Linked DNA regions of Caenorhabditis elegans. The protein of the gene in region 3 purifies or fractionates together with the protein of the main gene of each other region. This does not show direct contact. Each region holds a gene or a part of one and is shown on either strand. Other genes may lie near its edges.

Evidence for each region.
Region 1: the proteins of F36D3.5 (region 3) and ule-2 fractionate together in Caenorhabditis elegans (co-fractionation; one large-scale study listed by BioGRID). This does not show direct contact.
Region 2: the proteins of F36D3.5 (region 3) and exos-3 fractionate together in Caenorhabditis elegans (co-fractionation; one large-scale study listed by BioGRID). This does not show direct contact.

Annotation. Positions count from the first base shown.
Region 1 is NC_003282.8:14,629,301-14,638,871, reverse strand, and holds ule-2 (Uterine Lumin Expressed/locailized), read right to left. Parts: upstream 3,747-9,571; 5' UTR 3,742-3,746; coding exon 3,622-3,741; intron 3,503-3,621; coding exon 3,038-3,502; 3' UTR 2,848-3,037; downstream 1-2,847. Other genes in the region: srlf-27 (SXP/RAL-2 family protein Ani s 5-like cation-binding domain-containing protein), read right to left, coding at 929-1,121; irld-4 (Receptor L-domain domain-containing protein), read right to left, coding at 4,503-4,618, 4,926-5,241, 5,421-5,569, 5,626-5,695, 5,745-5,747.
Region 2 is NC_003279.8:10,516,473-10,525,973, forward strand, and holds exos-3 (Exosome complex component RRP40), read left to right. Parts: upstream 1-1,906; 5' UTR 1,907-1,908; coding exon 1,909-2,072; intron 2,073-2,123; coding exon 2,124-2,400; intron 2,401-2,449; coding exon 2,450-2,689; 3' UTR 2,690-2,786; downstream 2,787-9,501. Other genes in the region: nlp-4 (Transthyretin-like family protein), read right to left, coding at 897-1,186, 1,236-1,380, 1,428-1,430; ndub-10 (NADH dehydrogenase [ubiquinone] 1 beta subcomplex subunit 10), read left to right, coding at 2,889-3,045, 3,434-3,996, 4,079-4,141; UPF0598 protein F59C6.12, read left to right, coding at 4,399-4,457, 4,504-4,586, 4,629-4,690, 5,129-5,269, 5,316-5,492; dhhc-12 (Palmitoyltransferase), read left to right, coding at 5,680-5,710, 5,911-5,999, 6,062-6,141, 6,335-6,452, 6,671-6,901, 6,964-7,057, 7,102-7,223, 7,266-7,433; F59C6.3 (uncharacterized protein), read left to right, coding at 7,987-8,192, 8,238-8,286, 8,546-8,714, 8,760-8,850, 8,903-9,014.
Region 3 is NC_003283.11:16,506,383-16,519,903, forward strand, and holds F36D3.5 (BRCT domain-containing protein), read right to left. Parts: upstream 8,859-13,521; 5' UTR 8,753-8,858; intron 8,708-8,752; 5' UTR 8,679-8,707; coding exon 8,612-8,678; intron 8,102-8,611; coding exon 6,472-8,101; intron 6,322-6,471; coding exon 6,201-6,321; intron 6,157-6,200; coding exon 5,745-6,156; intron 5,699-5,744; coding exon 5,322-5,698; intron 5,275-5,321; coding exon 5,160-5,274; intron 5,115-5,159; coding exon 4,890-5,114; intron 4,844-4,889; coding exon 4,743-4,843; intron 4,694-4,742; coding exon 4,378-4,693; intron 4,328-4,377; coding exon 4,188-4,327; intron 4,139-4,187; coding exon 3,995-4,138; 3' UTR 3,980-3,994; downstream 1-3,979. Other genes in the region: srr-3 (Gustatory receptor), read right to left, coding at 558-779, 923-1,034, 1,086-1,155, 1,203-1,281, 1,442-1,613, 1,674-1,810, 1,915-2,061, 2,117-2,323; F36D3.4 (Major sperm protein), read right to left, coding at 10,211-10,435, 10,515-10,772, 10,827-11,117, 11,165-11,248.

The DNA.
Region 1 (9,571 bases), on a different chromosome or scaffold from region 3:
GCGTTGATTTTAACGAAAACCTGGAAGAAGCTCTCTGAAAATAACACGCTTACTGCCCCGCCAAATTGAGAGAAGCACTTTTTCTCGTAAAGTTCTCTTTTGAGGTCAGGTTTCACGGTTTCACGGTTTCCTCGACCGGGGCCCACTGTTTCTTTCTGGTATGGTTAACCTACAATACCCATTTATCATTTCCAGTAATAAAATCCCTAACTCAGCCCGTCGTTCGTTTTCTAGTGAGCAGCGAAAGAGAGTGGTCACAACGCAAAATTTTCTGAGAATCGGACAATTGAGAGGAACGAGTTGACCAAACTTTGGAACCCTTCCGGTTTCGTGGAGATGGTTGATGATGGTTATTTGGGGATGCTTGAGAGTCGCAGAAAGTTCGCGGTACGTTGCTCGTAGATCATCTTCCAGGGCTCTCGAAATATCCTCATCGATATTCCAACGAGAGCGACCGGAGCTTGGTTTATCATCGAGGTCGTATGTCTTTTTCGTGAACTTTTTGAATCAAAACTTCATGGTATTATAGGTGACAGAGTTCTTGCCTAACACTGCACACGTGTTACGTCGAGCTTCGTTGCACTTGCAGCCTTGGAGGAACTCGTACAGAAAAACTCCTCGGAGCGCGTGGCGTTTGGCGAGCAAATTCTCGGTCATTTTGAACAGGACCCAAATGTTTTTTCAAATGCATTAAACATGCACATCACGTACTATACCAACAAAAAAACAAAATGGGAAAAAAACAAGTTAACGCTGAGAAATGAAGAAAAATACAAATTTTGCAAAGACTTTTTGCTCAACATCAACAAAAAAAAACAGAAAATTATTTCAGCTGTTTTTGAAACAGCATAAAATTACCAGTTTTTACGCGTTCTCAGAAAAAAAAAATTCTCAGAAAAAAAAAATTCTCAGAAAAGTCCCGACTAACCTCTTAAAAACGGCAATCTTTGCTCAATTTTTGCATTATAAGTGTTTTGAGTCCTCGTTGGAACCGTAATTGGCTCAACCTGCGCCACCGGAGCCACAGTGGTTACTGTAGGTAGTTCAGTAGAGACTCCAATAGTGAATGATTGAATTACAGCAGCCAGGCTGAATACAGGTAACAGAAAAAATAAGAACATTTTTTAGAGTTCAAGTGGTAGAGAAAGCGGAGGGAACACTAAAAAGCGAACTTTGAAGCATTGAAGGGGTCAACATAAGTCTCCAGGCTAATGTTATAAGCCGTTAGACAAATAAATACACCTGGCGGGGAGAACGGCTTTCACACCTTTTCTTAGAGATACATTTTGTATGCATTTGAGTGCTACTGGGGAGGTGAAAGAGTACATAAATAGAATAATAGTCTGTGCAATGTTTGACAGGTTGTTGAACACCTGGGGGAGACAAATATTTTGACCGGGCGTTTGGCTGGAACAGAGCAAAAAGTGTTGTCAAACTGTTCAATTTTTAGAATAAAAAATATATAAAACTTATAAGAAAAAAAAACTTATAATTCTGTTGATCAGTTTATTTTTATGTTGGTGAATAAAAACACATAGTGAAACATGATTTTTATAAAACATGGAAAATTAAAAAAAAAATTTTTTTTTTGATTAACCAAAAGATGAGCACTTTTGTTTACAGCAGCAGACATCTTGAGGGTCTACTTCAAGTCAGAAAACTATGAGTAAAAATATTTTCTAAACGTATTTTTCTGTATTTTTTATTAAATAACTTCATTTTTAATCTACTGGGAAATCGAAAATTTATCAGTGATATTTTAAAAAATCTAGACTCAATTTTGGGTTGAATCGGAGCTGAAAGTGTTGTCGAAGTTCAATGTCAAATTTCCTTCATTTTTTTTATATGATCCCAGGATTAAAAAATTTTCAACTTACATGGTTAAAAGTACATAATAAAACGGAACATTTTTTTTTTTTGATAATTAAAATCAAAATCTAATTTTTCGTTTTTCGATTAAAAAAATTACGAAAATTAATAATTCACGCTTAGCAAATTGATACAACTTGATGATTGCTCCCAGCACCGGAAAACTTGCGGGTTTTCTACTTTAAACTGTGTGAGTTAACCCATGAGATGTCGGGTGCTGTGTGAAACACCATATTCTTTTTAAACGTTATTTTTTAATATAGAACATTATATTATACATAATAAAAATTAGTTGTGAAACTCTCTCGAAGTGATCATTAATTTAAAAAAAAGTGACAATTGTGCACAAGCCATAAAAATTTACAGTTTAAGAATTTTTATACTTTTTAAAAATTCACAAAATTTAAAAATATAGGCCACAAAAAATATTGAATTGAAAATGTTTATTCAATAAATCTAAATCTTACCTGTTACTGGTTTTTAAGAGGAATTTGTTTTACGAAATTTAAATATTCAGCCAAAATAAATATACAGCGTCGACGGCAAGCCGAAATTTTCTATAGAACGTTTTATATTATGCTTGAATATTTAATGAATACCTATAACCATTTGTACTGCTGGTTTTAAGCTGGACACATTTTGTATAGTGCTGAAACAATTTAAAAATATTAAATTTTCCCATCATGTTTCATTAACTCTGTTAATATCGACAAACTGGAATTTTTCATTAGAATGCTGAATTCACTATTCTTTGTAATTTTCAACGTCAGCAAATGAACAATGCGCCTCCTAAATATGTGCGTTTAAAAATTAAAAAATAAAGTTTAAACAAATAAATAAATAAATAAAGTTAAATAAAGTTTTAAAAAGTTTAAAAGGTTAAAAAATAAAGCAATTCAAATAATAAACATTTGGCGTTTACTTTTTAACATCATGAAACAGTAAATTATTTGACAATGATTTATTAAAAATCCATGTATAGTTTCCAAATGAATGTAATTTGAAACCGCCTTTTATTAATCTCATGATAATTTTCATCATTACAAAAGTTAGAAACTGAACTTATTGAAAATATGAACAAGTTAATTGTAAACATTAGTATTTCGGTTTAAATAATTCAAATATATTGCATGGCATTGAGCACACATTTATTGTAACAAGATTTAAGTTAAAATGAATTTTCAATAATTCCATAGTTGTCGAACTCAATTTTCATTTGATGGCCCATCACACAACCGGATCTCATTGCAAAAATCATTCGTTTGAATAGATTTACATCACTGATTTTGCAAGTTGGCTGGTTTTTCAGTTCGTTCACAAAGCAAGGTAGGTACACAGTAATCCTATTGCAATCATCATCATCGAATTTCTTGAAATTCTTGTAACTTGGAGCAGGATCACAAGAATCAAAAATCTTGCGTAAAACTCCATTCCCAAGACATGGCTCCAGTTTTCCATGAAGTACGTCTAGAATCCAACGTTGATTGAACAAATATGACTGCAAAATTCTTGAACTATTGCAATTTAAGAATCCAGAACAATCTAGGACGTGAGTGACTTCTTCGATTAGTGCAAGATTTTCTGATTTCTCAGGACGGGGAATTTCATCAATTCTTGTGAAAAGACGTGGATTCTGAAAAGGGCATACGATTGAAAATAAATTAGCAGCACCCTACATCATGCGGGTTGGCTATGCGACTAGTCTTAGCCAGAGCCTGCTAAATGTGGGGCGCTCCTGAATCAATGACTTACCCTAACACAATTCATTATCGATTTGTATTCCACTTGACATTGCTCATTAGTGACAATTGGTGGAGGGGTACCCCATTGCCCGGAGACCAGAGGTAACAGGAAAAGAATGTAGAAAATCATGATTTATTTTTTTCTGTTTCAGAACGGTCTTATATATTTTTGAAAAACAATTGAATCGGTACTTCTTTGTTTGTATCAATTTTAAAGTTTAATATAACATCTGACTCATTTTCCCGAAGAAAAGTTTTTTTCAATTGAAAACGTATTAATTCAGAACAATTTTTTCACTGTTTCGGTGTTAAATTAAAAAAACACCGGAAAATTTTTCCAGTTACAGTTTCTTTCCTTGTTCCATCCAAAAATATAGTTAACGTTTCTGGAAAAATATCGCCTTAAGTTAAATATTATTTAAACGTTCTTACAATGTAGTACTAGGCAAATTCATATTTTATTACTACGTTACCCACTAAAGTACTGTGACTTACTATTAGAAATGTGCCCAAATAAACTAATTTTGTGATAACCCCTGTAAAACTTCTCAGCTTTAGCTGAAATCTCCAAAACGCGGAGTATTACGTGGCAAGAAATTTCGATAAATGCTCAATTTGAAATATTTTAGTGTTGTATCTATTTTTATTGTACTATCACTGTTTTGTAAGTTTAGATAATTTTTAAGCCAAACGCTCAGATATCAGGGTTTTAAATGCACTGAATTAGTTTCCATCTCGTATCAAAATATTGAGTTTAATTTTTGTACATGAAAACTTATATACAACTTGAAACGGTTGTCAACTTTTTTTAAAGCATAATCACTTTCTACTACATCATAAATATAAAAAATTACACACACAATCAATAATTTATCCAAATAATTGCAAATTTCAATATTTATGATATCCAGGCACAAAATAGACGTTAGTACTTCCCATACTCAATGGATGAAGGAACATTGTAGCACAGATGATCAATGTGAATAGGACGGCAGCAAGCGACATTCCTGAAAATTGATTTAGATATGGTAAATGTGACTCTCAAAATGAAATTGATGGGTTGTCGTGCTTCGAAATCAACTAAAACGAAGAACGGCAGATGCGAGTAGTGTATTTGAAACAGTAAAAAAAAATAGTAAATATGAAAATGTTCATAATTATCATAAGTCATAGTTTGGATTATTATGAAAACAAACGTACACTTATGCTCATTTTAACTACTCAACTAATAGTAAACTAAATACTGAGTCCTTATGAAAACTATGTGAAACCGCATAATATTTTTTCTTGTTATATATTTTTCTCAATTCTCACCTTCTGCAAATTGAATATTATAATTTGGCATCAATCTCTTTTCACACGAAAGTGGAGAATATGGTTTGTGGAACATTTCTGGCAGGTTAACAGTATCCAATTCCAGATTTCCAGAAATAAAAACTGGAAATTCATTTCCCGTAATCTTGACATCCTTATTCCAATCCACAAATCCACGCATATCACGGAGTCTTGTATTGTTGAGAATAACGAGTCCAGGGAATGAATTATGAGTTTTAATACTGACAAGATTTGGCATTTGAGGCATTCGATTGAATGGAGAATTGATTAGTGAAAGGGTTCCACGGATTTCACGCTGCAAAAAATAAAAATGCGGTTTCAGATTCTTTATTTTAGAAATTCAACATTACTCAGATAGATAACACTTAGAACAGAATTCGAGAAATTTCATCATTTGATAAAAAGTACAGAGTGCCTGCGCCCGGAAGATGTCGGACGCTGCATTTTCAGAAACCAACATACATGTCACCTTACCAATTTCTCAAAATTTGCAGCTTTCAAATTAATCACTCTCAAATGCAAATTTCCATGAAACACTTGACACCAGTTAGGCCACTCGAGGTAGTTCTGAGCGTCACGTTTCAAATTTTTAATGTTGCAGTGGAATTGGTTCGGGATTCCATCTGAAATACAGTTATCTAAATATCTAATTGGAAATTTTTTTTTAAATAAGCGTTACCTGTATCACAAGAGCTTCCAACTTGAGCCAAGACAACCAGAGGGAGCAGTAGAAAATTTAGAATGCAAAACTGAAACATACCTTCAATTGTTCGATTTTCTAGAAAAAAAAGTACTCACCATTCTGATTGTTGATTTGTCCAGGAAATAAATTATATATTGCGTATGAATTTGAAACGTCGTGGAAAATGTGCCAAAAAACGTTCGATCAAAAAGTTCACGGAAAATGTTTGTTTCTTTGTTATCAAAATAAATTGATAAATCATAATTTTAGATTTATACAGTTTTATCATAGAAAAGTTCAATTTGCACCCGAAAAAATATTCCAAGTGTTTCAGAATATTGTTATCAAAATTTTATTTGAAAGCATAATATTGGGATTGATGCAGTTTCACTTTAATTTAAATATTTAAATAGATTTCGATTTACCACTTAAATGAAATATCAAACAAAGCAAAAACAAAATGACCCCAGTAATTTGAAAACATGTTTAAACCTAATATTTCACTTCGACATTTTTTTTCGAATAATGTAATAGTTTTAAAAAATGTTGAATCATTATTTTCTTCTAAAAACGTTTTTTTTTCTATTATTTGAAAATGACAAGTTCATTAAAATAAACTGTGCGGTCAACATTTTTTGACTTCAAATTAGAAAAATACAATACCAAATGTTTCATAGTTGCAGCGGCCGACATCTATCGGGTTTGAAAACTAGGTAGATGTCGGGTGCTTGTCAGACTTCCCAATCACTGCTATTCCTAGCAAAATTTCGTTACATTCGCCGCGTCAGCACCACCCGAATATATTGTTCTCCCTAATATTTACCGACACATTTCGGCCTCTCCAATCCAAATTTAAAAGAGTATATTTAATTTTTACTCGGAACAATCTTTGCTCTTTTCAACACAATTGATTCTTTGATTTTCAGATGGGCTTCCCCTTTCGCCAATTTTCTCCCGAACTGCTCAAAAAGTTTGCATAACGTGCACGCAAAGTTTTCGATTTTGATCTTTGCGTACTTTGCACCCAATAGAAATATTGAAATTTGCAAACGTGACAATCTGAAAAATATGAGAGTTCAATTGACAAGTGACGATGTTTTTAATAAATTTTTTAACGGAAAATGTTTTTGGTTTTTATCTCCAAGAAGATTGCAGAAAGTTTTGTTCCGGTCCAGAAGAATTTAGCGTGGTTTGGAGCCAAAGAATCATTTTTTGAAAACGCCACAAAAAATTACAGTAGGTAAAAACGTTCTGGAAAATAAATAATCTAAAGGTTCAATCGAGCTATAATTCATACGTTTTGCTTACAACTCAAAATTTTACACAGATTTACTGCGTTAACGTTCATTTCTAAAGATACTCATTCGAACAAGGCAAGTTATTGACAATGAGAAAATACACCTGTTTCATATAAACGTTGTGAAATAGCACAATTTTTTTTTCTTCAAACTATGTCAAACAATTTCTACAGTTTTTGTATCTTTTTCATCTTATATCTTATATCTTTGAAAATGCTATAGTTTGGGTTACTATTCAAAAATATTTTACAGAAGAGTTTTTAAATTTTAAATAAGAAAAAAAACTAACTGATCCTGAAACCAGCATCCTAGATTTAAAACCTAATTAGTTATATACTTTTTCAAATCACCGAGAAAAATCTAATTAAATTTTTTTTGGTTAGTTTGCTCAACCAAATATCAACTTTCAACAACTTGCAATTTATTCTACTATTTCTCATTGTTAATTAACGCTTGCCCAAAAAAACTACCACTCAGTAGGCTTAGGATACCTTCAAATTCGATCAAATATTCTCTAAAATATTTCTGTTTCACATTGTTTTGAAATCGATAAATCATTCTTACCATTGGTTACCATTGCTAACAGATTTTTTTTCAGCTGCATTGAAGAGAAAAATTGCATTATCAGGTTAAATAAAAAATTTCAATCCAAAATTAAAACAACTGAGCAATATGATTGATCAAATGGCATATTCATGCCAGTTGTGAAACATATCCGGTTTTTTAAACCAAATCTTACGGCCATTTTTATTTCCATTGCTTTAGGGAATTCTAATTTTGTTTTTAATGTTATTCAAATTGAGTTTTCATATTTCTCACAATCAGCATTTTGACACTGTAAATTCAAAGTGTCCAATCGCTTCAAGACTGTTTTTTACAAATTCAATCGACACCACTTGATTTCTATTTTTTATTCAATAAAACCATGACAAAATTTGACTGAATGCCTAAAAAATCCGAATTCTGAGAAATTCGGTGCCTCTTTTTGAGATGTTACTGAGGTTTTTCAATTTCGGTTTTGACATTTATTATATACTTTTTCTTGATACAATACTTTGACACTATTTTTGAATTCGTGAAATCAAAACTCAAAAAAAAAAGACAATTGAAAAACCTTTGCAAGCCCTATATTTTTTAAGTGAAATCAAATTATCAAATTTTAAATCAATTCGGTTGAGCCACACTAAAATGGTAAAAGCAGGACCTTCATCACTACAAACTAACTAAAAAAACGCAGAATGTACTTACTCGTTGATTCCATTGAAATAATAATTATGGAAAATCACAAAACTTGGCGAACACAATGGGGTCGCACAATTGTGGAAATTTTGGAAATTTTTGTAAAAACATTTCCAGAAGAGTACTGTAGATTATCCTAGACTGTACGTACAACAAAAACAATGATTTGTTTTTTTTTTTGGAAAATAGAGGAATTAGTGTAATGCAGAGTTTTGAAAAATAGCTGGCGGCTCAATTTTTTGGTTTTTAGTAGATTTAAAAATTTTCTGACTGTTTCACTTATCTGATAAAGCTGGTGGTTAAAATAGAATTTAATGCACCTTCCGGAAATCAAGATTAATTGTAAAAATTCAACCCGTTTTATGAAATCTTCATACATTCTTCATTTAAGAACAATTTTCAATCTTCAAAAAGTATTTTCCAGATAAAACATAATTATACCGTTTCATTGATTACACAAGTATTTTGATACAAGTACTGTGCCATTAACTGATGTGTTCAACTTAAGTTGTTATATGGCTCGTTGAAAACAATTCACAATATAATTTACCGGCTTATCAAATCTACTATTTTTATTCGCAGGTTTTTAAACAAGCATTATTTTTCAAGTTTAGTTTTTAATTTTTCTAGCTCTGCATGCTTCCACACCTTCCTTCCGTTTGTATGGGGCACAAATTTTTCTGAACTCTTTGGTGTTTACGCTACATTACCAGATATTTGTATCAAACGTTGCTTATTTTTCTTTCTATGATTGTAATTTAAACTAAAAATATTATAAAATACATTTGAAAAAAATTGAGATTAACTCTCAAGATATAATAATGGTGTAAACCACAAAGAAAAAAAAATTAAATTAAAATTTCCGGGAACATTTTGTTATGATGCTAATTCCAGTAACATGAACACATTTATCGGAAATAAATAAAAATAACTGTACATTAATTTTCTGAAGTTCTACACCATTTCATTTTCTGGTGCAGCATGTGGCCTCTCGTGGCTATTCAAAGTTTTTTTCTGAGTTGGATTTAGAAACCTATTTATATGTCTTGTAGTATTCTAATTGCTGGATTTTTTCCAAAGTAATATTAGGATTTTTTACCCGGTTTACAGTACATCTATTGTTCAATATGTCCAAAACTTTCCATCGTTCATATTGCTGTTTAAACAATGCACTTGAACTGAGCTCTACATAAACACCAGATGAAACAATTTTCAAAAATATTTTCTGTAGAATGGTAGCAAACAGCTTTTGTTTTCTGGTTTCATTCTAAATATTAAAACAAATTTAATTTTTTTTTGAATTTACTCAAATGCCAACCAATTTCCATTGAATGTCAAAAAAATTTGTGTTATATGAAAAATATGGAATATTTATCATTCTGTAATGCATTAGAATTTTTTCTATG
Region 2 (9,501 bases), on a different chromosome or scaffold from region 3:
AATGGTCAGGGTCATGATAAAACCAGGAAGCAATGGAGATACGGAAGAATGCGTATAAGTTCAGCGAAATAGATACAAGGAAGTGTTATTTAAATAAACCAATACATTATTTGACCGATTTTTGGAGATTAAGTGATTATTTCTTTGAAACAACTCAATAATCATTTTTCTCGCTTGATAATTTCTTGTTTAACACTAATAAATAAGAGATACAAGGAAGTTCCTTCTTAATAAGAATGTATTTATGATCAGTGATAGAATGATCATTTGGTGCGGTGGATGTCATCATTCCCAGCCAGGGGTGGGTGACAAGATACGAAATCCTCGTCCTTCTCGTACTCATTCCGAGGTTTCTGTGCCGCCAAGTACTCTGCTACGTCCAACGGATCCAATGACAATTGGCTTCGTAGTTCCGAACAATTGTGTATTCTAGATAAAAGCTATTCATGTTTGTTATTCAAGGTTTTGCTATGAGAATATTTAGCATTTTTAGCACAAGTTTACAACTGCTCAGAAGAGCAGGCCACTACGGCTCCAAAATTCATTGGCTCCGTGCGGTCATCAAGCCCTAAAGGACTGCTTCACGCTCGCGGCCTGCCCGTCTCCCTTTCATCGCAGTTGGCATCTCTACCAATTTGATGGGAATTACGAGATACATACTGCAGAAATGATTCTGTATAGTATGGTCTCGATGAAAGAACCGCTGGTCTTCGAGGTGACTGAGCGCGGCGGCCGACACATCACGGGTTCCGCCTGAGACGATTGTTTGTGTACGGGGGAGACACGCCCACTTCATACTTTGCAGTGACTATGAGTCGCCGGAGAAATGTAAAACGAGAGAAATGAGATCTATGACCTATACATCTTTATTTATGATTTCCAAACAAAAATTATTATTATCCACATTTCACAGTAACTTCGGCAGGATTCTTAAAGCGAAGATCGACTTTTCCAAAGTTGTACACTTTCTTCTCATCAGGAGTCTTCGAGTTAACAGTGACATTGAGTGGTGGGATTGGTTGGACGATTTTCCGATCGCAACGATGTGGAACTTCTTTAGATTCCCAGCATCTGTGAATGATAACGACATAAGGAGTAATCATATAAGCATCAGTTGTCACATAGGCTTTGAAATCAAATTCTCCTTTCTCGTTTGTCCATCGATCCATAAAATCTTCGTATCTGACTGAGAGTAAAGATTTTAGATTCAGTTGAACGATTTCAAACTCTCTTACACATTTGTGCTTCAGAAAAAATGTCCATTGGCATGTTGGCAGCAGGGACATCATCACACACAAGTTGTCCTTTGATATGCACGGAAAAATCTGTCTGCTTCACGGCCAGACACGTGGCAATAATACCGGAAAGAACAACAACTAGCTGAATGGGAAAACTTTAACTTCAAAAAACCTAACTATATTACATACCATTTACAAACCAGTTTGACCACTAAAAACTCAGTTGAACTGTATTTGAAACTAAATTTTTCTCGGTGTACGTGTCGATATTTATTTTAAAAAATTGCCACGCATTTATGTTTTCAGTGTTATTTTTCTTTTAGTCCTTGACAATTAATATTAATTGCAATTTCCAACATATCAAATAAAAATCAATGGGTACGGTATACAACACCGCAAACACCGTCACGTCAAGTCGCAGACTTTCAACAGCCGCTCCATTTTTATTTCTTATTTTTCTAGTTTTTCCGTTTATTTTGCGAAATATTATCACTTTTTGATTAATTTTATTGCAAAAATTTACAATTTTCAGTTAATATACTCATTGAAAACACTTTATTAACGTAGCTTATTACGTTATTCCTCCTGCGGTATTTAAATTTGGTTTTTCTATTCGCCACTACTTTTTAAAACGTTATTTTGTTCATCATTGAGTATTCAATTTTCAGAAATGACCGTATATCTCCCTGGCGACGTTATCAATGAACCTTCTTCAAGCGATTCCTCAATCATTGGCTACGGAATTAGTGTACGTGGCCAAACGAGAATTGCCACTCAACCTGGAGCTTTCCACAACGATGATGGAAAAGTCTGGTTAAATGTTCACAGCAAAAGGTAAGAATGATCACGAACAACATTTAAAATCACAATTTTTCTTAAATTCAGATATATACCACAGGAAGGAGACCGAGTAATCGCTATTGTCACTTCAAAAACTGGTGATTTCTTTCGTTTGGACATAGGAACTGCCGAATACGCCATGATCAACTTTACTAACTTCGAAGGTGCTACTAAAAGGAATAGGCCGAATCTAAAAACTGGAGATATTATTTATGCAACAGTTTTCGACACAACTCCAAGAACTGAAGCAGAGCTTACCTGTGTGGATGACGAGAAACGAGCACGTGGAATGGGACAGCTAAATGGAGGATTCATGTTCAAAGTTAGACACGAAATTTACTATTTATTGTAAAATTTAAAAATTATTATAGGTCTCCTTGAATCATTGTCGTCGACTAATCAACCCATCTTGCAAAATTCTTCAAACTGTTGGCAAGTTCTTCAAATTCGAAATCACTGTTGGAATGAACGGAAGAATCTGGATTAGTGCTTCGACTTCTGATGATATTATCAAGATTCACGATATTATCAATAAATCAGAGTTTATCACTGACGAAGATGAGCTTATCACCCTGGTTCAGAATAATTACACACGATCTGTCAGTGATTAAGAATCTTTATCTCAATTTTTAATTTTTCAGTGTAATTCCTGCTATTGTTGATTTTTTTTTCCTTTTGTTGTTGAACTTTTTAAAAATTTAATTTATCGTCTTGTTCTATGTAATATTTCAATTTTCAACGTTTCTTCGTTGTTTTAATATTTATTACTCAATATTCTCAATTCACAATGGAAAATTTTCGACATTCAGTATGGGTGAAGGCTTAGTGGAGCAACGTCAAGCTGACGATAAAGCATCTTGGGATGCTTACTGGAAAGTTCGTGATATCGATTCACGAGGATCCATCTACCCACGATTCCGTTATTATGCCCATAAGGCTTTCGACGCCCCAGCAACTTGGTTCAGAGGTAATTTTTAAAATTCTCAAGTTGGAGAATCATTTAAAGAAGAAGCAGCTTTGAAATTAGATTTAAAACCATTTACAAAATGTAAGAATTGACAGAAAACAAATTTCGTTCAAGTTTATTTACTTTCACCATTTGTTTTAATTCCAAGTAATTGATACTGTCTACGGTTTTATCCAGATTCAAAAAATTTGGGAACTTGTGGTGCAAGTAAAGGTTAATTTCTAATTCCCATATCATTGCTGTAAATTATAATTTTAAACTAGAAAAAAACCAAAGTTATTCGACTACCTCAAGCTGATGTACAGTTAGTAGTTGCAGTTCCACATAATAAATCAACTAGGCAAAACAATCCATTTTAATCTATTCTACTAACTCGTCAGCTTTTCAGAGACTATTGTGCAACCACTCAACAACAAGAACCGTCTACCCTACTATCACCGTCAACTTACACGTGTTCCGGAAATCGACGAATGCGGAGTGAACGACAAGGCCTGCTTCTACGAAGCCAATGAGCAGTACCGTCTTGATAAAATGGTCGATGGATTTATTCTGCAAACCCTCCGCCAACGTGTTGATCGGTGTATGCTTTACAACAATCCTGATCATTCACCATGTGCCAAGGTTATTGAGGATATGGAAGAGAATGAGTTGAATTTCTTCATGAAATACGGAGAGTTGGGAGGAGAATCCGATGTTCGTGATGCTTATATGAAGCAGAAGCATCGAATGATCTGGGAACGACGTCATCCAGAGATTATGGATGAGCGTGCAGCTAAGCTTGCTGATCATAAAGCACGACTTGCTAATGGAGAGTTTGACTATTCATTCTGGAAGAAGGGAATGTTCTATCAAGACAAGAAGAACTATGAGCCACCATATGAGTTCCAAATGAGCAAGTCAGCACTCGAGGGTGACAAGCCATTGTCCAAGGATTGGGAATACTACAAGAAGGTAAATATTCTTTCAAGATTTAATTTTAAAAAAGAAGCTACGAGAGAATCCTGGATCGAAAATTAAAATTTTATATTTTCAGGTCTCACAAGACCCAGAATTCGACAAGGATCAAGGAAAGAAGTCCGACTTCCGTCTCTTCTAATTCTACGCTGTCAATCTTTTCTTTTTCAATGAAATTTTTTAGAACGAATTGTGTTGAGTTTTCTTATTCCGTCGTAACAACTTTTTTTTCTTTTTCATGTTGCGTTCTTTTATTCCATTCAGAAAGTGAATAAATGTAGATTGTTTGATTGATTTATAAAGATTTGAATATGAATTTATGAGAAACGGAAATATTACCAGTCAGCTTTTCTTTTCAAATTAATTTAAATCAAAATTTAACTTTTTTAAGTTTCGGAAATGATACTGACATTTGCACGAAGTCTCTACACACAGGGGCAGTATAACGGAAAAATAAGGTTTTATTTTTAAATTAATTGTTTCTTTTTGAATTTGAGTTTTCAGAGAATATTTTTACTATGTGAGCCACAATGGTTTCCTATTTCTGGACGATTCGAGAATGAAGAATTTTACAGCGGCTTATAAAGGTTTATTTTACAGGAAAAACTGTTAACAAATCGAAATTTCAGATATTCAGTTTCTTAATTTCTTCTACAGAAAGATCAAGGAAAACAAGACGGGAAGATATGAGGTAAAACGCGAAATTTGCGATTTATCAACAAAAATACGGTAGCCGGTCTCGACACGACAATTTTTGTTGAATGAGAAAAGGTGTGCGCTTTTAAAGAGTACTGTAATTAAAAACTGTGATTTCTGCCGGATTTTTTTATTGATGTTTCCAATTCTTTCTATAAAATAATTCGACAGAATCTTAAGTTTTAATCTACAGTAATCTTTAAAGGCGCACACCTTTTCTCGTTTAACAAATATTTGTCGTGTCGAGACCAGGTACCGTATTTTTCACTTCAAAAATGTTGAAATTTCGTTTCTGGGTAATCTGAAAGTGTTCTAGATTTTCGATCAATTCCTATCGAATGCAATTAATTAAAGTTTCATCCATTGAATTGAGCTTAAATACTCAATTAAAAAATCGTGGAGGGAGCTGAAAAAAAATTATATGAAATTTCAGGATACATTCCCGTGGGTAAGCCTTTGTGGAATTGAGCGAAACTTTCTGAGATGCGACGACACTCCACTTGTTTACACGGAACTCGACTCCACTGAAAAAGAGCTCCGAATCGGGCAATCAACCATTTACCATTCGTTTCAAGTAAGATGAAGCACAGATTTTTCAGATCTGTATTCTAAAATTTCAGCCCTCATCACTTTCAATGAATTCAAGCGGCCGTGTTTATCACAAATGTCCGATTGGTGGAAAAGCACTGGTAGCTGACAAATTGACGGATAAACTGTATCGCCGGTTCCGATTTGACGATGACGGCGTTCCAGTCGGATTTCAGTGCGGGGAGCAGATAATTGAGCTTAAGAAATGAAATAAATAATAATTAATGTATATTGTCTGATGGAAAGTATCTAATGAAGTATTTAAAATAAAAATAATGTTAAACGTGAACCCTTTTCAAATTTATTTCCACGCCCTTTGGCGGCCTTTCAAAATCGATTTTTCAAGTTTTCGTTTATTCCCTGATCTTCCGGGAGTTATCTCCTCCACGTTGCATTATGGATGTTTGTAGGATTTTCAATCGGATAGGTCAGTTGCGAGACGTAACATTCTAAAATGAGCTTGTTTGGATGGGTCTTGCCGCGAAAACTTTACGGTAGCATGGAATTTAACGCGTTACCATAAACTTTTGATCGCAACTAGACCCACTCAAATAAATCTGTGCGCCTTTAAGCAGAGAATTAAAATTACAATAAAAATATTAAATATCGATGATCACCCTTTTTCAGTATACTTTTTGGTGGAAAAATCGTTGGGCGATATCTCGAAATTCGACCCATTTGATGTATTGAAGCTCGTCGCATTGTGGGGTGGACGTGTGAGATTTTTTGATAATTGGAAGCACAACCAGAGAGAAAGGCAGAAATGATAGTTTTTCAGTTATGTCTGCTGATTTTCGTGGGCACACTCTGCAATGTTACATATGTGGTAATCTTCAAGATGATACCAGTTGAATGGAAGTGAGTGAAACCTTCAATCTTCCACTCAGGCAAGAAATGCCTTCCTGCCTGCCTCTAGGTCGGTTCTGGCACCAACATGAGTGCCTACCGCGAAAAGTCCACGCCAATGGAAAAGAAAGTAGGCGTTAGGCAGGCAGGCATGATAAACTTGCTGAAACTCTATTTAACAATAGTTAAAGAAGTGTATTTTCAGCGAATGCCAAAATATGTCGTTCTTCGTGTTCCGTTTTGTGCTCCTTATCTACATTTACTACAGTGTCGTTTTTCACTACTACAAGGCCCGGACTCTGACACCTGTTGTGAATCCAGGGGTAAGCCTCCAAAAACAAAGATATGACGTCATAAGCATAAACGGTCGTCCGAAATCAAGCATTTGAGACAAATACTGTAATACACATTTCTCCACGAGGAGTACACACAAAGAACGTAAATCGACACGTTCTTTGTTTTACAGTCATTTCTCAATAAGCTAGAAATTGTAGAGCCTTTTTGAGATTTTTTTCTTAAAATTTCAAATCAAACTTTTCAGACTCCCAGTGACTCATTTTGTATCAAATGCAACAATTGGAAAGGTCCATCAACATCTCATTGTAAAGCTTGTGACAAATGTATCTACCGTATGGATCATCATTGCCCTCATATTGGACAATGTGTTGGAGCACACAATCAGAGCCACTTCTTCCTTTTTCTTTTCTATCTTCAAATTGCAACGGGCCTCTTTTTCTTGATGGCTACAACGTTTTGGATGAAATGGATAGAGGTTGGTTTGGTGCCTGCCTTGTGCCTGCCTATCCTTAAACTAGTAAATTATTAGTCCTTCAGACTCGTAAAGAACTAACTGCAATCCCGGATGATCAATGCTGGCCTCCATATTGTTTTAATAGATATTACTACTTGATTACACGTTCTCAAGGAAGTATGTCTGATGCATTTGAACCTTTCTAACTTCTCAAATTCCAGCCGAAGACACTATGGTTAAATTCGCATTTTTCCTTTTCGTAACACTTCATTGGATTATGTGGGGATTTGTTGGTGTCTACGTAGGAATCATTTCATTTGGATTAACTATGGCGATGAAAATGGTAATCAAATTGGCAACATCTGAACCAATTCAGAATTTCCAGTTTCAAAAGTCGGACGCTGAATCTCGTAAACCTTTCACTTGGTTCACAATCAAAGCTCGTTGGAGAAAATACATGAACTGTCAAGATGAGCCACTTTGGAAGATATTTTTTATTCCGAAAACCCGCAAAATTGTGTCGTATAACGATTATAAGGAGTTAATTATGTAGAATTATTGTAGAATTGTCTAATTTTCTCTTTTTTAATGTGGTTTTTTATATTGAGTTTTTTTGGTTGGCAATAAAAGGAATTGAAAATCGGGTTTTTTGTTGAAAATTGAAGAAATGAAGGTTGCTCAGAATCACTTTGATGGAACCAAAATAACAAATATCATGGGATAGAAATTTCAGAAAATATACTTTTTGTGGAATTCCAATTTGGAGCCGCGCGATTTTGTTAGGGCTTGGTGAGATGGAATGAGCTCGGCTTGTTTTCATATTTTTCCAATGACTAGTTTCTTCCTGACTTCAAGAAAAAACTTGAAAAAAGCAACAATGCAAGCGAGCTCCACCCTGCAAGCTCACATACAGCGTGGATGTTGAAATTGGAATTTGGTAAATGCTGAATTGGTTTTCAACAGGAAATAATGTTTTTTTTTTCTGGAAGTTTTTAAAACCATTGAAAAACGTGTTGACCGCCCTTCTTGAACCGTGGATTTTTTCTTCTAAAAAATCCAAAAAAATTTATCACAAGTTCTCATACTCTCGTTTCTTCCTCGAAGCGATGAGCACGACAAAATCGATAAAAATCAATTCAAATTCAAGTTTGACGGAGAGCAAGAAGACAACCATTGATGATGAGGACGAGCTGATTTTTCGAAAATCTTCGGATCCCGAGCCGTATCAACTGGGAAATGCTCCAGAATGTGTTTATTCTGGATGGAATATTTTCATTGGAATATTCCTCTTATTCACTACGATCTTCTTGGCGTGAGTTTCAATGAAACTGTTATTTTTTTACTTGGAATCTTTCAGATCAGGATCGGTCGCATCTATTGTAACTCAATGCTTTGGACTGGCTTATGTAAGTTATGAAAAGTATGGGTTCGTTCCACCAACGTTCCGCGACCAATCATGAGGCGTCACAAAAATAGCTGATTGGTCGATACTTTTTAAAATAAAAAAAACCTGCCTTGTGCCTACACGCGTTCCTACTGCTTAAATGAAAGCAACTGTAATAAGAAAATGAATAGTAATCCTCCAAAAATAGGCGGTGGGCAGGCACCGGTAGGCACAAGGCAGGAAAGCACGCCTGAAGGCGAGCAGCAAAACTTGATTTTCAGATATGTGCTGGCCTACTGACATCTGTTCTTATTCTCAAGTCGACACGTGTGATCTTTGCGATACTGACTGTGTTCTCGGCTATAACAATTATAATGACTTCTTTGACTATTTTGGGATTCGTTTATTCAATTGAAGGATCTATGCCAATGCCAGAACTTATGTTAAAAAGTGAGTTTTTACTGGAAATACATGCGTAAAATAAATATTTTGCAGATCCAACATTGGAAATAATTCTAGGAGGTTTACTTACTGTGCACATTGGGTTGAATGTCTTCTGTTTCTTTGTATTTTTGAAGAGATCTTTGTAAGAAACATGAGAATTAAATGTTTTTTTTTTGAAAAATTAAAAATTACAGTAAAAGTGAAGTAGCACCGGAGCATGGGAATATTGAAAGAGCAAAACGTGCATCTGCTCCAATAAAATTGGAAAAGGAATCTGGAGAAGTTATTGTGATGGATTATTTTTGAAAGAAGAATAAAGAATTTTATTCAAATTTTATTGCCAATTTCTTCGTTACTGAAAAATTCCACAGTGACACAGAAGTGTCTTTCTGTCAGCCTCAAAGACATGATACGCCTGCATTTTTATCGTGCCTCCTTCCAGGAATACACCCGGTTTTAATATCTAATTTAATGTTGAACAGGAAAAATGCTCACTACAAAATGTGGAAAATGGGCTGTAGCAGTGCTGTGCGGCTCTTGAAAAAAGTCGGCTCTCGGCTTACGCCGAGAGCCGAGTCTGAATTATTTTTTCGGCTCTCGGCTCGCGCCGAGAGCCGAGTCAAAATTATTCTCGGCCTTTTTTGTAGGCATGTAGGCAGGTACTCACCTGAAACTCTTTCAACCATATTTGGAAACCCAACTTTTTGCAATAGTGTTTCGTTTTGAAGAGGCGATTCCATAGGCACGTGCCTGAATTATTTCGAATGTGAAAAACTGAAAAAGCTATACAAAA
Region 3 (13,521 bases):
CTGCTTTCGCTCAAGCGATTCAAAGTTTTGATTGGGTTAGGATACCGGCTGTTCGAAAGTTTTTTGCGTGACGTCGTGTTGGCAAAATGTGCAGCGGACATTGAGCGATGTCTGCGTTTGATCACATTTTCCGGAACAATGACGTCACGCACATTTTCCAGTTGTGACGTCATTTTTGGAGCATGTTAAATTAGTTAAAGTTTAACAGTTTCGACTTTGAAAAAGTGTGGAACATTTTTTTTTAAACAGAATTCGTAAATTTAATCTGAAATTGAACAAAAAACTTGATGAAAAAAATCCTATGGCTTCAAAAAAAATATGAGACAGACATTCAAACATTTCACAGAGGTTGCGTAGTGACTGAATAGAGTCTGTGAGAAATAGTCGGTTGAAGAGAGTAGCGAAAGACTAATCAAATATTAGAGTTAGAGAGTGAGCAACGGTTGGAGACCAGACAAGCAATGTGAACATCGGTGAGAAAACATGGAATCATAGATCATATTGAGAGAAGTTAAGCGAAATTTCAAACATTTATTTACAGACACTGTTTCAGCAAATCAAAACGCTGAAAAAACAACCATGACGAGCACAATGTTTGATATAATAAAATAGGCTCTTTCGATGTTCTTCCGATTCACATCGAATATTCGTATTACGACATTCACAGATCGATTGTGCATCGATCGATCAACCATGGTACGGTAGATACTGTAGATTTGAGGATCCTTGGAATGGTGAATGAATTGGTCGTTCATAAGAACAGTAGACGTGTGGAGCATCTGAAAATGAGCAACTTGTGCTTCAGGCCGTTATGGTAGAACATTTTAATTTTGGGCATTTTCTCTAGAGCTGATTATTTTTTGTTGTACAAAATTGGCTTGAATTTTGTCTACTATTGGATTCCAGAGAAAGTATGACTTACAGCTTCCTGAACTAAAGCTGGAGGATAGAGAAGAATCTTTGATATTATAATACATGATATCAGCATTCCGACCATGCAAATGAAGTATAATGTATGAGTTGCAGATCTCAAGCTGTAATACCTCAGTGAAAAAAAGCTAAATTTTTTTCAAATAAATACGTACTTTGTCACAAGGTACAGCACGTTTGTTAGAGCAGTAAGTATGAAAAGTGGTGCAAAGGCCATAAGTCGATCTGAAAAGTTTTAATGTTTAATTAAGACTTCTGTGAATAAATCTTACTCATTCGTTCGGTCAATGGATTTATGCATTCGAACATTTTAATTTGACGATCGGCAAATCTTTGGAAAGTTTGAGGGTTCTGAAAACAAGAATCATACAAAACAGTACCTTCAGTTAAGTTTTTGACATAGGTTAGGCTTAGGCGTAGGTTTAGGTTTAGGTTTAGGTTTAGGTTTAGGTTTAGGTTAAGGCTTAGGCTTATGTTTTGGCTGGAGTTACAGTCCTGAAATTTCACTCACAAGCAATTCTTTATTCTTCGAAGCGTTCTCTAGTTCATCATTGAAAACTCGGAATTCTCTTGCAAATGCAGTATGAATAAGTTCATGAATTGGGAGATGAAGGAAGTTTGCATATGCACAAAGAATCATAACCGGAGCATCGAAATAATAGTACCAGGAGCTTTTGGTTTTACTGAAAAAATTTCAGATTGGAATGGTTGAGGTGAACGTCTAGTAGTCTTCTTGAACTTACGTTCCAACAATAATAACTCTATTGCAAAGTAAGTAGATGGCCGTTCCAATGAAAAGCACGAGGTTAAAACTATTGAAGATGAAAAGTTCAATCCACAGTTTCCAATACTTGTCGTGAGATTCGTGGAAGGAGGTTATCTGGAAATAAATCGATTGTTGAAGCTTTGTATGTAAGCGGTATTTAAAAGCATCACAATTGAAAAGTTGAATCGTGACTCTATTGCAGAACTTCAAAATCTCACCCTCATCTCACGCATTTCTGCGAGTTTTTGTTCCACTTTTCTCAGTCGCCCAACTTTTGTTATTTTAAAAAGAGCAATGACAAGACAGAATGATTCCATCGAAATGAAACCGTATAGGTTTTGCTCGGCAAATCCTAATGTGAGAGCCTGAAAATCTAGGACTTAGCAGACGTCAACAGATACTTTTAAAACAAAAACTAACCTTCACATCGAGATAAAAAAGCATATATCCTGCTCGAAAAACCATCGCCAAGAATGTGATGAATGAAAAAATCATAAAAACAAATCTCAAAGGATTTGACTTTTCGCAATTAAAAGGTGAAAACTTCAGAAGATATGGATAAACTCCAAAAATATTCGGGGCTGAAGCAGTTGACACTTCCATCACTTCAGCTGGGTAGACGACCATCTTTTTCTATTCGAATTTACAAAGTTTTCCGAAATTTCCGACATTATAAACCAATTTCAACTCGAACATTTTGGTTCTCCTCATATTTTGCACAAAGTCAGAGAAATGGCCAGAGTTGCTCAATTCGTTTGTGTGTTTTCTCTGCCGCTCTCCATGTGTTTAACGCGCTATTTCGTTAGTGTTTCGGTGCTCTTCGGTGAGTCAGAGCAAACGAACAGAAGTCGATCAGAAAATTAATCATAAGTCTAGGAAGTACAAGAACATTTTGATCTACAATGTTAAAGAGATATTTTGGAAAATTTATTGATATTTGGCGTTAAATAAGCTCATTTTTTCCAAATAATATGGATTTTCCGTTTATAATCCATAAATTTTCCAGATAATTTTTCCAATTTTTCCAATTTTTCCAGATCCACAATTTCCTTTGAAAGATAATTTATTTTTAAAAAAAGTTTTCCAAAAATCGATGGTTCCAAAAAATAGTTGTTTCTAAAGTATGAACAATTAGTAGAAAACCTAAAAACTCATCAAAAAATCGATAAACCTCTTTAAAATATTTTTAAAAAAACCGTTATTCATTCCCCAAAAACATTCTCACAAAAATATATATACTTTCGAAAAATCAAGTCCTACTATTAATAAATTTAATATTTGTTCTGGAAACTATTATAGTTATTTAATAGTTTCCAGACATTTTTAAGTTTAAGGACTTTGTATAGAATATTCTTAAACTTAAAAAAATCGATGTTTTTGTCACCTTTTTAATTTATCGCCATGTTTTTTTTTTTTGATTTCTCGCAGTCAGTTTATTTCCTCTTTTTCATATTTTATTGGAGGCGCTTTCCGGGCAAGAAACGGGTGGGTATAACCCGCGCTCACAAAAAGCCTTATTCAGAGACATTTTCACATTAAACTTCAATCAGAGAATCAGTCATAGAGTGATTCAGGAAAAAGAGCAAATTTTTGATCTCTAGCGGATGTTTGTTAACATTTTGAAGTAAACTTTCATAAAAATAGATACACTTAGTCTTAATTGACAATATATTAATAAAAAATTTAAAGATTTATCAGCGAATCGCCGGCTTTAATCAGTTTTGTCTGGTAAATCACTAATTTTGAACTTTCACATGTGGGCGTATTCATAGGTGATTTACAATTTTGCCCTTTTTTCATATAATTTCTATGTGTTTGATCAGGCAGTTAGTAAATTTTTATTAGATTTTGTTCACTATCAGCCGTTTCCGGCCTATTTTACCGTTTTCAGTACAAATTCGGCTCAAAAAGCTCACTCTTTCGCCCATGAGAGACGCAGAGACAGTTCATCACGTCGATTTATTTATTTTTTGAAATGAAGAGAGGCCGTGCTCTAGCGGATGTTTGTTAACATTTTGAAGTAAACTTTCAATTGTTTACATTTTCTGACGTTTGGTAACACAATGCAAACAGGAAAACTAAGGATCTTTAAAGATCTTTAAATTAAATTTTAGAAAGAAAACACAGATCACCTCCATCAAAATCTTTATTCAAATCAAAATTCATCATATATTCACACACAATCAAAAAAGGGCTGGGCACAGTCTAGTTGGCAACCAATGGAATGGCGGTGAGCTCGCGCGTCACTCTCAAAGACTCAAAGATCACATACCTTTTAAAAAATTCCAAGAAAAGTATTTATTTATCAGCTTTCAAAACAGTAATCGGTGTTTCACGAGTATCTTTGATAATATTTCTTTGGAGCATGAATTTGATAAACTCTTCTTCAGTAAACAGCGTGTACATCTTGTCTGGATCAGCAGTATAGGCTTTCAAGTTGATCTGGAATAAATGTTTTTTTTTTCAAATGAAATCAGGTCTAATTACAAACCGTTCCATCGTGAATCAAAAACAGTGGTCCAAGATTTGCATGATTATATGGACGTGAGCCAACGTTGAAGGCATCCTTTCCTGGGAAGGTTTTCATCATAAATCCACCATGGGCTGCGACAAGGGTATTCAATGTTACCACTGAAAAATTATAAATTGGACATTAACAGGATTTAATTGAAATAACTTACAATTCTTGCATTCCGTCATGACAATTGCTGCATATACCCCGTACAGATATGGAATAGCTCCTTTTGCCATAGCTTCACTCCACTGAAGAACAGTCTTGAAAGTGGATCCCTTGTATTTGACACTATCGACCAAATACTTTGAATCTTGCTCAATAAGCTTCTCCTCGTTCAGACAATCTATCATCCATTGTTCCTTCACTATAATTGCTCCATTAAACACCCAGAACAGTAGGTCAAGATCATCAGTTTCCAGAACGCCATTCTCATCCGTCTTCACAATAACATGGGTTGTGTTCGGGGCTGCTTCATCGGATGTCTGAAAATAGTATTATTTGCAAGAGACACGAAATGCAAAGAACACTTACAATAGCCTGAAACTTCTCCATAAAATCGTTGGTGATTTTGTTGTCAGTTCTTTCGTCCATCCAAATATGAAATGAAGTTGCTGGAAACTTTTGCGGAACACCTAAATACAATCTTCGTAAATTTATCTCTGATTATTCTAAACTTACTCATTCTGTATTTTTTCCCATTCGCCTTTTTGTACAACATTCGGATCTTCTCGAGCTTTTCAACCATATCCTTTGAATGGTCTGGAGAAGCGAGAGGAATCATCTGTTCTGGTGTTTTGTTCAATGTGTTGAGCAATGTTAGATCTGCTCCATGCTCGATTAGAATCTTAACAATTTCAGGTAAAGCTGATTTCGTGGCAACATGCAAAGCTGTGTTTCCAAACTCTGAAAAACAAAAATTTTAAAAATTTAGCTTTTCCTTAATCTTACTGTTAAATGCATTTATGTAGGCTCCCATCTTGACAGCTTTCACAACATGTGTCTTGTTAATCTCCCGAACTGCATCCAACAGAGTGTTCTTTCCACCCTGATTGTCAAGGAACAACTGTAACAAGTTTAGTATGAAGTGAAAGTTTCACCAGTTCAATATACCGAATATCTCCATCTTCTTTCATAATCCAGCGGCTTTCCGAAATAGTATAAGTATAGATTCATGTACTTGGCTCTTCCGTTTTTTGTGAATCCATATGCAACAACACAAAGCAATCCAATTAAAATCATCGATCCAATGCAAATCAAGAAAATATAGATCCAAGGAAATGAGTTATCGATGTGTTTCTCAATTGTTAGGATTTTGGATTTAGAATTTCCAAATATTTCATCGTAATATGCAACCAATGAATTAACTGTGACACTTGCACTCTTCAAAGCGGCTTCATGTTTTGCGAAATCCAAGTTGAACTCTCGAATCTTCTGGAATACTTTCGAGGCAGCCAGCTGATCTATGCCAACTGATTTTTGAAGTTTAACTGTAAAAGTTTTTTAAACATAAAATTTAAATTTGATAGTCCTTACTTGACAAAGTGTTCAATGATTGTGAGTCCCCATTGATTCCTTTTATTTTTGCCGCTTCGTCAAACACGCGTGACATCTCCGTTAAACTTCCGTTTCTCAATTTCCCAGCAAACTCGTTCAATTGATCAGCTTCTTCCAGCAACTCTATCAATTTCTCTTCCGGATCAAACCATTCTATCAAATTCTCTCCAACAATCACTTTCTTCACATCAGCAGTGAAGTTTCGAACCGAAAAAAGAAACTGACGGTGCTGTCGTACATTCTCAAGATCTTCCAGTACGCGGGTGCTCGTGCCAATGTTTTTAATCAGAGCTTGAGGAGTTTTCAACAAAAGAACTGGATTGTTAGTAGCATTTATCTGAGAAGAGCTCGATTTGATTTCCTTTTCCACAAGAGCTAGATTATTTTGCACCTGAAAAAATCAAGTTTAAAAATAATTATTTAAAATTGGAAAACCTTTTCAAGGCGATCCAGGTACTCATGCATTGTTGATGAAGTTGCGTGATCAGGAGGGTATCGTGTACTGTAAAGCTTGTGAACTATCAACATCAGTTCTTGTATGGTCTCAGAATGATGGCTGAAAAATTAAGTTTAAGCAAGAATATACTAGACCTTCAAAGGATGACCAACCGACACGTAACTGTACATGTTTATTTTGTATGTTTTACAATTAACAACTTGTCTGTTTTTCACTTTTTGTGCATTTTTCGTTTTCGTGCAAACTAACCTGAAACATTGTGAAGTTTTCACCAGTTCGAGTTCCGATACAAGGTCACCCAGATTCGGTCCATCGCTGTCATAAATACCAGCAGAAGTTTTTTCAACAATTTTGAGCTCCGATGAGATTTTTGCAATGCTTTTCATCGTGTCAATGAAGCTGTATGAATGATGAGTGAGCTTTTTGAAATCCCTAATCAGCATATTTTTCACTGTTATCGCATTGGATGTGTTGACGTCAAGCTTGCTAAGAGTCCAATAAAGTGTGTGACAGTCATCTTTGAACAGGTCTCGTGCCTGTGTATTCGGATAAACCATAAAATTCAAGGCGACGGTCAGCTCTGCAATAATGTCCTTGATGTTTGCAAGTCTGTTCATAATATTCTCTGCTGGGAACATATACTTTTCATACTCTACAATGCTTGCATCAAATGATTTTAGCTTTGATCTTGCTAACAGCGTCTCTTTCATGCAGTTGTTGATATGTATTCTCGAGTCCTGAATGATTCTCTCCAGTTTCGAGAAATTCAATCCGATTGTCGCGACATCTGCAGCATTGTTAACTCTTTCTACAACGGGTAAGTTTTGAAATCCTTTGGTTACATGCATTAATTCTTTCCACGACGAATCCAAAGCAACCATTTTTCCCGAAATTGTTTGAAATATTTCAAGAGCATTACTCAGTGAATTTGTACTTGAACCCTTCGCAACATGCTTCTTGAACCAATTACTATTCAAATCACCAGCAATCTTCGAAAAATCTCCAGAGTTTTTGAAGCCAGCAGTGAACAACAAATTTTGCTTGACTGGCGAAATATTATGAGATTTTGCTTCCACGATTGATTTATTGAGTTGAGCCATTGCTTCAAAAACCATTTTCTGACCGAGAGAGCTTGGGCTATTCCAAAGCGGTTTTGCTGTTTGAAAAGTAGATAGAACTTGCAAAAGTGTACTATTCATCGATGACAGGGATTCTCGGTGTGTTTCAAACCAAATTATATTGTTCTTCCCATTTAGCAATTGTCGGTAGACTGCTAAATCCTTCCAATTGGACAATTTTTCTATTTTGGAACCCAAACTTCTCAAGCTATCAATGCATGTGTTCATCAACTGTTCCTCCATATAAAAATTATTGATAATTTCAGCAACCGTTGCAGAATCCGGGGTCACTCCTGTGTCGTCGTCAAAAAGAGCAATGAAATCTTCCAACAAGGATAACTTTGCGCATTTAGTGGCAAACATTTTGTAACTACTAAGAGTTCCGGCTTCACTCAACAACTTTTTTGTTGAGATACTGGATAATGCTGACAAGCTAGACGATTGCTGTGAGAAAAACAATATGAAGCTCAAAGTGGCCATCATAGCCTTAACATCATCATCCGACAAGGCTTGTGTATCATTTTTAGATAATTGAATCAACTTCGTGTATTCTTGGTGCATCCTTTTTAACTCCAAACTTGCCGCCTCCACATTTACGTTCATAACCGTGTTCAACTGATCGCTGGGCATATGAAGAAGTTCTGATAGAAGATCACGAGCTTTGATTTCCTTCCTAATTGCTCCAGCTTGAAGGGAAATTGCATTGGTGACACGCGATAGAATCCGAAACTGTTCACTGATTGCTTGGAGATCGGATGAAGCTGGAAATGTTGAAGGTAACAAGAATAGTTTGGTCAAGCTTATTAGTTTCATTTTTCAAATGTTTTTGGATATGCGAGTAGCTTTCCCAGGCCTCGCAGAAAGAACATTTCAGATTTCAGCAACGTCACCGGCGCATCTTTTCTGGTAAACCTTTTAACTGTACTCACAACCGACGGCGCCTCAGATAATTGAACCAAGCACGAAACGCCTACAAAACACGCATGAGCATCTGTTTGGTGATGGCGCGTTGCTGGGTGGTTTGCTGACGACGCTTGCGTGATTTTCAATCGCTGCCTGTGTGTTTTAAAGCTGCCGGCATGGCCTTCCTGCAGGCATCCTTCAAAAATCACGCCGGAAGTCTTTAACCACGCTGGCAACGCTTGAAAATCTCATTAGCAAAAGGATCATCAGCCAGCTGCACACCCCTGTCACAATGCGCCAGCGTGTAGGCCTGTGAAACGTCGGTCGCGGAATTTGTTAAATTGAATACCATCACTCCATTGACTCACCTGATTGACCGATTTTCATACATCCTAGTTGAATAACGATAATGAAATAAAAATTAGTTATTTGCATTGTTGTTAACACCAATTTTGAACTTTTCTCTGAAATGTTTCGTTTAAAACTGAACATCTGAAATGTAAACTCACCGAAAGATTATCACTTTTTTTGAAAAGCAGTAGATTGGGAAGTTGTCCACATCGGCAATGACAGGGATGGAAGATTTCAATGACGAGATAAGACGATCAAATGAAAAGTCACGGAAATAAGGAAAACGTGCAAATTTATTTTATTTTTTGTAAAAGTTTTTCAGAAGAAAACACGTTTGGATATTTTTATAAATTTGGCAAATCTTTTTGAAAAGTTTGAACGCGAGAATCAAACTCAAGTTTTCAGAAAAAAAATACTTGGGCAAGCAATTCAAGTGGAACACCTTTCAAATAAAATTGGAGCGAAATTCCATTTATTTCAAGCATTTTGCAGAGAAAACTGTAATATCTCAAACTACAAAATTTGCATCTCTTTAAAAAATTAAGATGACCAACCGAAAAGATGACATATCGAAAAAATTACTATCAACTTCGAAATTGCTTAGCAACTTGGAAATCGATTTTTTTTTAATCAAAGAGTTTTATAAAAAGTTTCCCGGATTTGGATTCTTGGTTGTTTAAAAATATTATCGGTACGTTTTTTTTTACCTAGATATCAATTTTCAGACGCGCTAGAGGGGTTTTTGTGTCGAATTCCAATTTCAACAATTCATACAGGCCCCACAAAAAAACAAAAATAAAAATTTTAGAATTTTGGAAAAGTTTTCATAGATTTGGATTCTGCCAAGCCGCCTCTAATAAATGCCGAGTGTGCAGACTCCGCCCCTTTTTCGCGTTTTTTGACACTTTTTTGGCTCGCGAAAAAATGTCCCCTTTTGTTTTCATTAATAACTACAGAGCCGTGTGACTTCATGCTCTAATATTTGAAATCCTACTAGAAATATTTTGCCCTTTTGTGGAGCAGAAAACGGCACTAATTTTGGAGCAAAATTGAGCCCAGGGCGGCTTTCCCCAGTTTGAAAAAAAATTTTTTGCTCTTTTTACCCCCAAAAAACCATGTTTTAATTGAATTAAAATTCGGGTTTTGCTCTGTTTTATTTGAAACTTATGTGCAAGATACTACTCAGAGAGACGGATTTTTTGAAAAAAGTTTGAGTTTATAAGTGCAAAAGGAAAAAAGTTGTGATAAAACAAAAGTCCAAAAAATGGCATTTTGCCAAAAATAAAAAAAAGAGCCCATTTAACCCGTCTTGGCTCCCCCGTGTTCACATCTAATAAATTTTTCAGTAAGAAAATCTGTCATAGAGGGACTTTCAAAAAGTAGCAAGTTGTTGATCTCTGGAATTGTTTACAATTTTTGATGTTCGATGACCAGAACACTATAGTATCTTTGAAGATTTTTTTCATTAAACAAACAAGATATAAAAACACAGATCACCTCCATCAAAATCTTTATTCAAATCAAAATTCATCATATTTTCACACACAATCAAAAAAAAATTCATTTTCGAGACACTTTTTCTTTAGACAGGCTGATGATGGAGGGCTGGGCATAGTCTAGTTGGCAACCAATGGAATGACGGTGAGCTCGCGTGGTGGATCACTCTCAAAGACTCCCTTGGCACAATTCTGCTCAGTAGAAGCATTGGATGTGAGGACAATCAAGTGATCAGTCTTCTCGACTCCATTATGACGGAGCACATCGATCGAAAGCTTGTCACCGGGCTCAACGAATCCGAACACTGGGTTGACGCGGTAGAGAAGGTTGTCGGAAGTTTTGACCTGGAAAGTTATATTTTTAATGAGCCTGAGCCAAAGCCTAACTCTAAGCCTAAGTCTAAACCAAATTCCCTCTGCTTACCTTGAATGCCTTTCTCGACTTGGTGTTGTTGGCAATGCTGACTGTCTGAACACCTCCCGTCGCTGCGAATGGAAGCTTGTTGGGCGAAGCTCGAAGAGTCGACGACTTCACTGAAGCAGCACCCTGTCCTTCCGGGAATGTGTACTTTGGCTGATTGGGAACCAACTTCAGAGCTTTCGACTTCTCGGATTTCTCACCGGAATTCGATTTGATGGACACGTCGGAAACATCTGTCGAGTTGATCGGTGGGCAGAGGTTCTAGAATTAATAAAAGGTTTTTTTTCTAGTTTTAGAAACTGTGGGAAAAATTACCTTAGCCTTGTTCAAATCGCACTTCTTGGAGGACTTGTCACACTTTTTAGATTTTGAGGATCTCTTGGATCTCTTCGATTTTGACGACTTGTCCTTGCTCTCACGTCTCAGCTTCTTCTTTTCTGATTTGGAAGACTTCTTGGATTTTGATGACTTTCCATGGCTTGGCTTCCCAGACTTTCCAGACTTTCCGAACATTCCAGGTCCCTTGTTGGATTTCGAGGATCTACGAGACTTGGAAGAAGCACGTGATGACTTGGATGCTGATCCCTTCTTAGACTTTTTACGGTCCTGAAAATCATGATGAATCTTAACCTGAAGCTACTTGTAACACATACCGCTTGTCGATCCTTGCTGGAGCACAAGGCAATCATGGTGCTAGTAGCCGAGGCGGTGGCAATCAAGGAAGCCAGTGAGATCATCGTTAAGATCTTTTGATTCCAGCTGGTACTTCTTTATCCGTCGAAAAATTCCAATTTATGGACAAGTTTTGAATACTGATTTTGTGAAACTGTAATTGAGAGGGGCACAGATAAGATCAGTTCCACATTTCACAATTTGACACGTTTTAAAATTTCAATTATTTTGTTTTAAAGTTTTCTTCAAAAATGTTTTTTAGTTCACGGAAATAAAAATTGTTCAATTTCCAAAAAAAATGTAGTAGGAATTTAAAATTTAAATTTAAAGTTGTAATTTTAAGCGAAAACTGAATCAAAACTTTTATTAGTGTTATGGTAACCGGAAGTTTGAGGTAACTTCTTTGCTAATGCTGTAATAAAATATATGTTTTATATGTTTTTCCCGTGTCTGAATAGAAGCTTATTAGATCTCATTTTTTAGTAACTGTTCATAAAAAAAACATCAGTAGAATAGACTTCTGATTCTGACATAACATATGTTCCAAAAAAATATAATTCCCCCAGGATTCGTCGTTATCATGTTTTATTATTCATATCATCTCTCTTCAACCGACTATGCTAATGCTTGACTGGTCTACTTTTCTAAAATTATTTCAGGAATCTCTTTCCTACGTTTCCTTTTTTACAAATTCGCTACTAATATGGCTAATTGTGACAAAATCTCCAAAAACAATGGGCTCTTATAAGTATCTTATGGTTTTTACGTCGCTTTTCGAAATTGGTTTTTCTCTTATTGAAATTTTGATAAAAGCGGCACGAAAAAATTTGTTTTATAGTTATATGGAAAATCTCGAATAAAACCAAGATGTGAGCGGGGACTATTTTCGATTTTTCTTGAGTTGTGTAAATTTCCCAACTCACATATATTTCACAATACTATTTATTTAAAGAATTTAAATTAAATATTAAAATTAAAAAAAAAACTCCCAAAAGTTTGACCCCGCCCATATCTTGGCTTGGAAAACCTTACAAGGTTTACGCCACACACAGTTTCAAGCCGGAAGTAAAGAAATTTGTGGCTGAAGCTCTTGGAGCAAATTGTTTCACCAATGGGAATACGAGCCGGAAGTCTATATAAAGTGTTTTTGAGAAACTGAAATGAATTTTTGCGGGAAATTCAAATTTCTCGAGAAAATTTTTTGGCGGGATATTCAAATTTTCTGAGAAAAAATTTTGGCGGGAAAATTAAATTTTTAAGATTTTCAGGAAGTAAAAACTCTGGGATCAATTTGGATAATTCAAACTGATGAGGATAAAAGTCTTCTGCCTATATCGGTTGCCAGTATATTTCTAAGTTAGTTCAATTTTTTTAATACGAACCTTTTTAGTTTATTCAGTGTGCTGGAGCGGCTCTTATGGGACAACATTGTTCAATTTCAGTGGAGACTTGACTTTTCGTTACTTAACAGTCACCGGGTAACTAATTGTTTTATTACCTTGAATGAAAACTTAAATTCCAGACGTAAAAAATATGTAACCGGAAAAATCCTCTGGGTCTGGCTGTTTTTCCCTTTGGTTGGAGGCTTTCTTTTTGCACTAACTATTGAGTTTTTCCTGGGTCAGACTAAAGAAATGGACGTAATCGTGAGGTAGTCAAGGTTATTTAATATAGACTCGTCAGATTATTTTTTTTTAGTTTATCTGGCATAGAAGTTCATCCAATTTTGGCCTACTATGGCTTCAGTCTCTATAAGTCACTTCCCAATTCCGAACCGAAGATTCTCAATTGGTTGCATATTTCGGGATTTTTGTCATTGCAGCTCTAGTGGTGAGTTAAAAACGGGTGTTTTACTACAAAAGTTTAAGTCGATTTTTTCGCGAAAAAATTGAGTATCAGTTCAAAAAAAACTCAGTATTCGTAAAACTACAGTAATCCTAATTCTACAACTCTATCAACTCCACTTATTCCAACCCACCACCACTTCAGAAGCTCAAAACGTAACTTTCACAAAACAACAGTAATCCTACAGTAACCCTACAGTAACCCCTACAGTAACTCCCCACAGAAACCATACAGTAACCCTACAGTACCCCTACAGTACAACAACTACAACACCCCGAATCTATCACCTCCAATGACCCCAACCTACCATCAGAAGCTCAAAACGTAACTTTCCCAATACTACAATAATCCTACAGTACCCCAACTCAATATCCTTATAAACGACAAACATTCCTACATTTTTATCTGAATTTTTCAGTTTGCCTCATGCTCAGTCATATTATGTTTCGCTCTGAAACTCTACATGGATGTGAAGAAATGGAGTAGCCTGTCA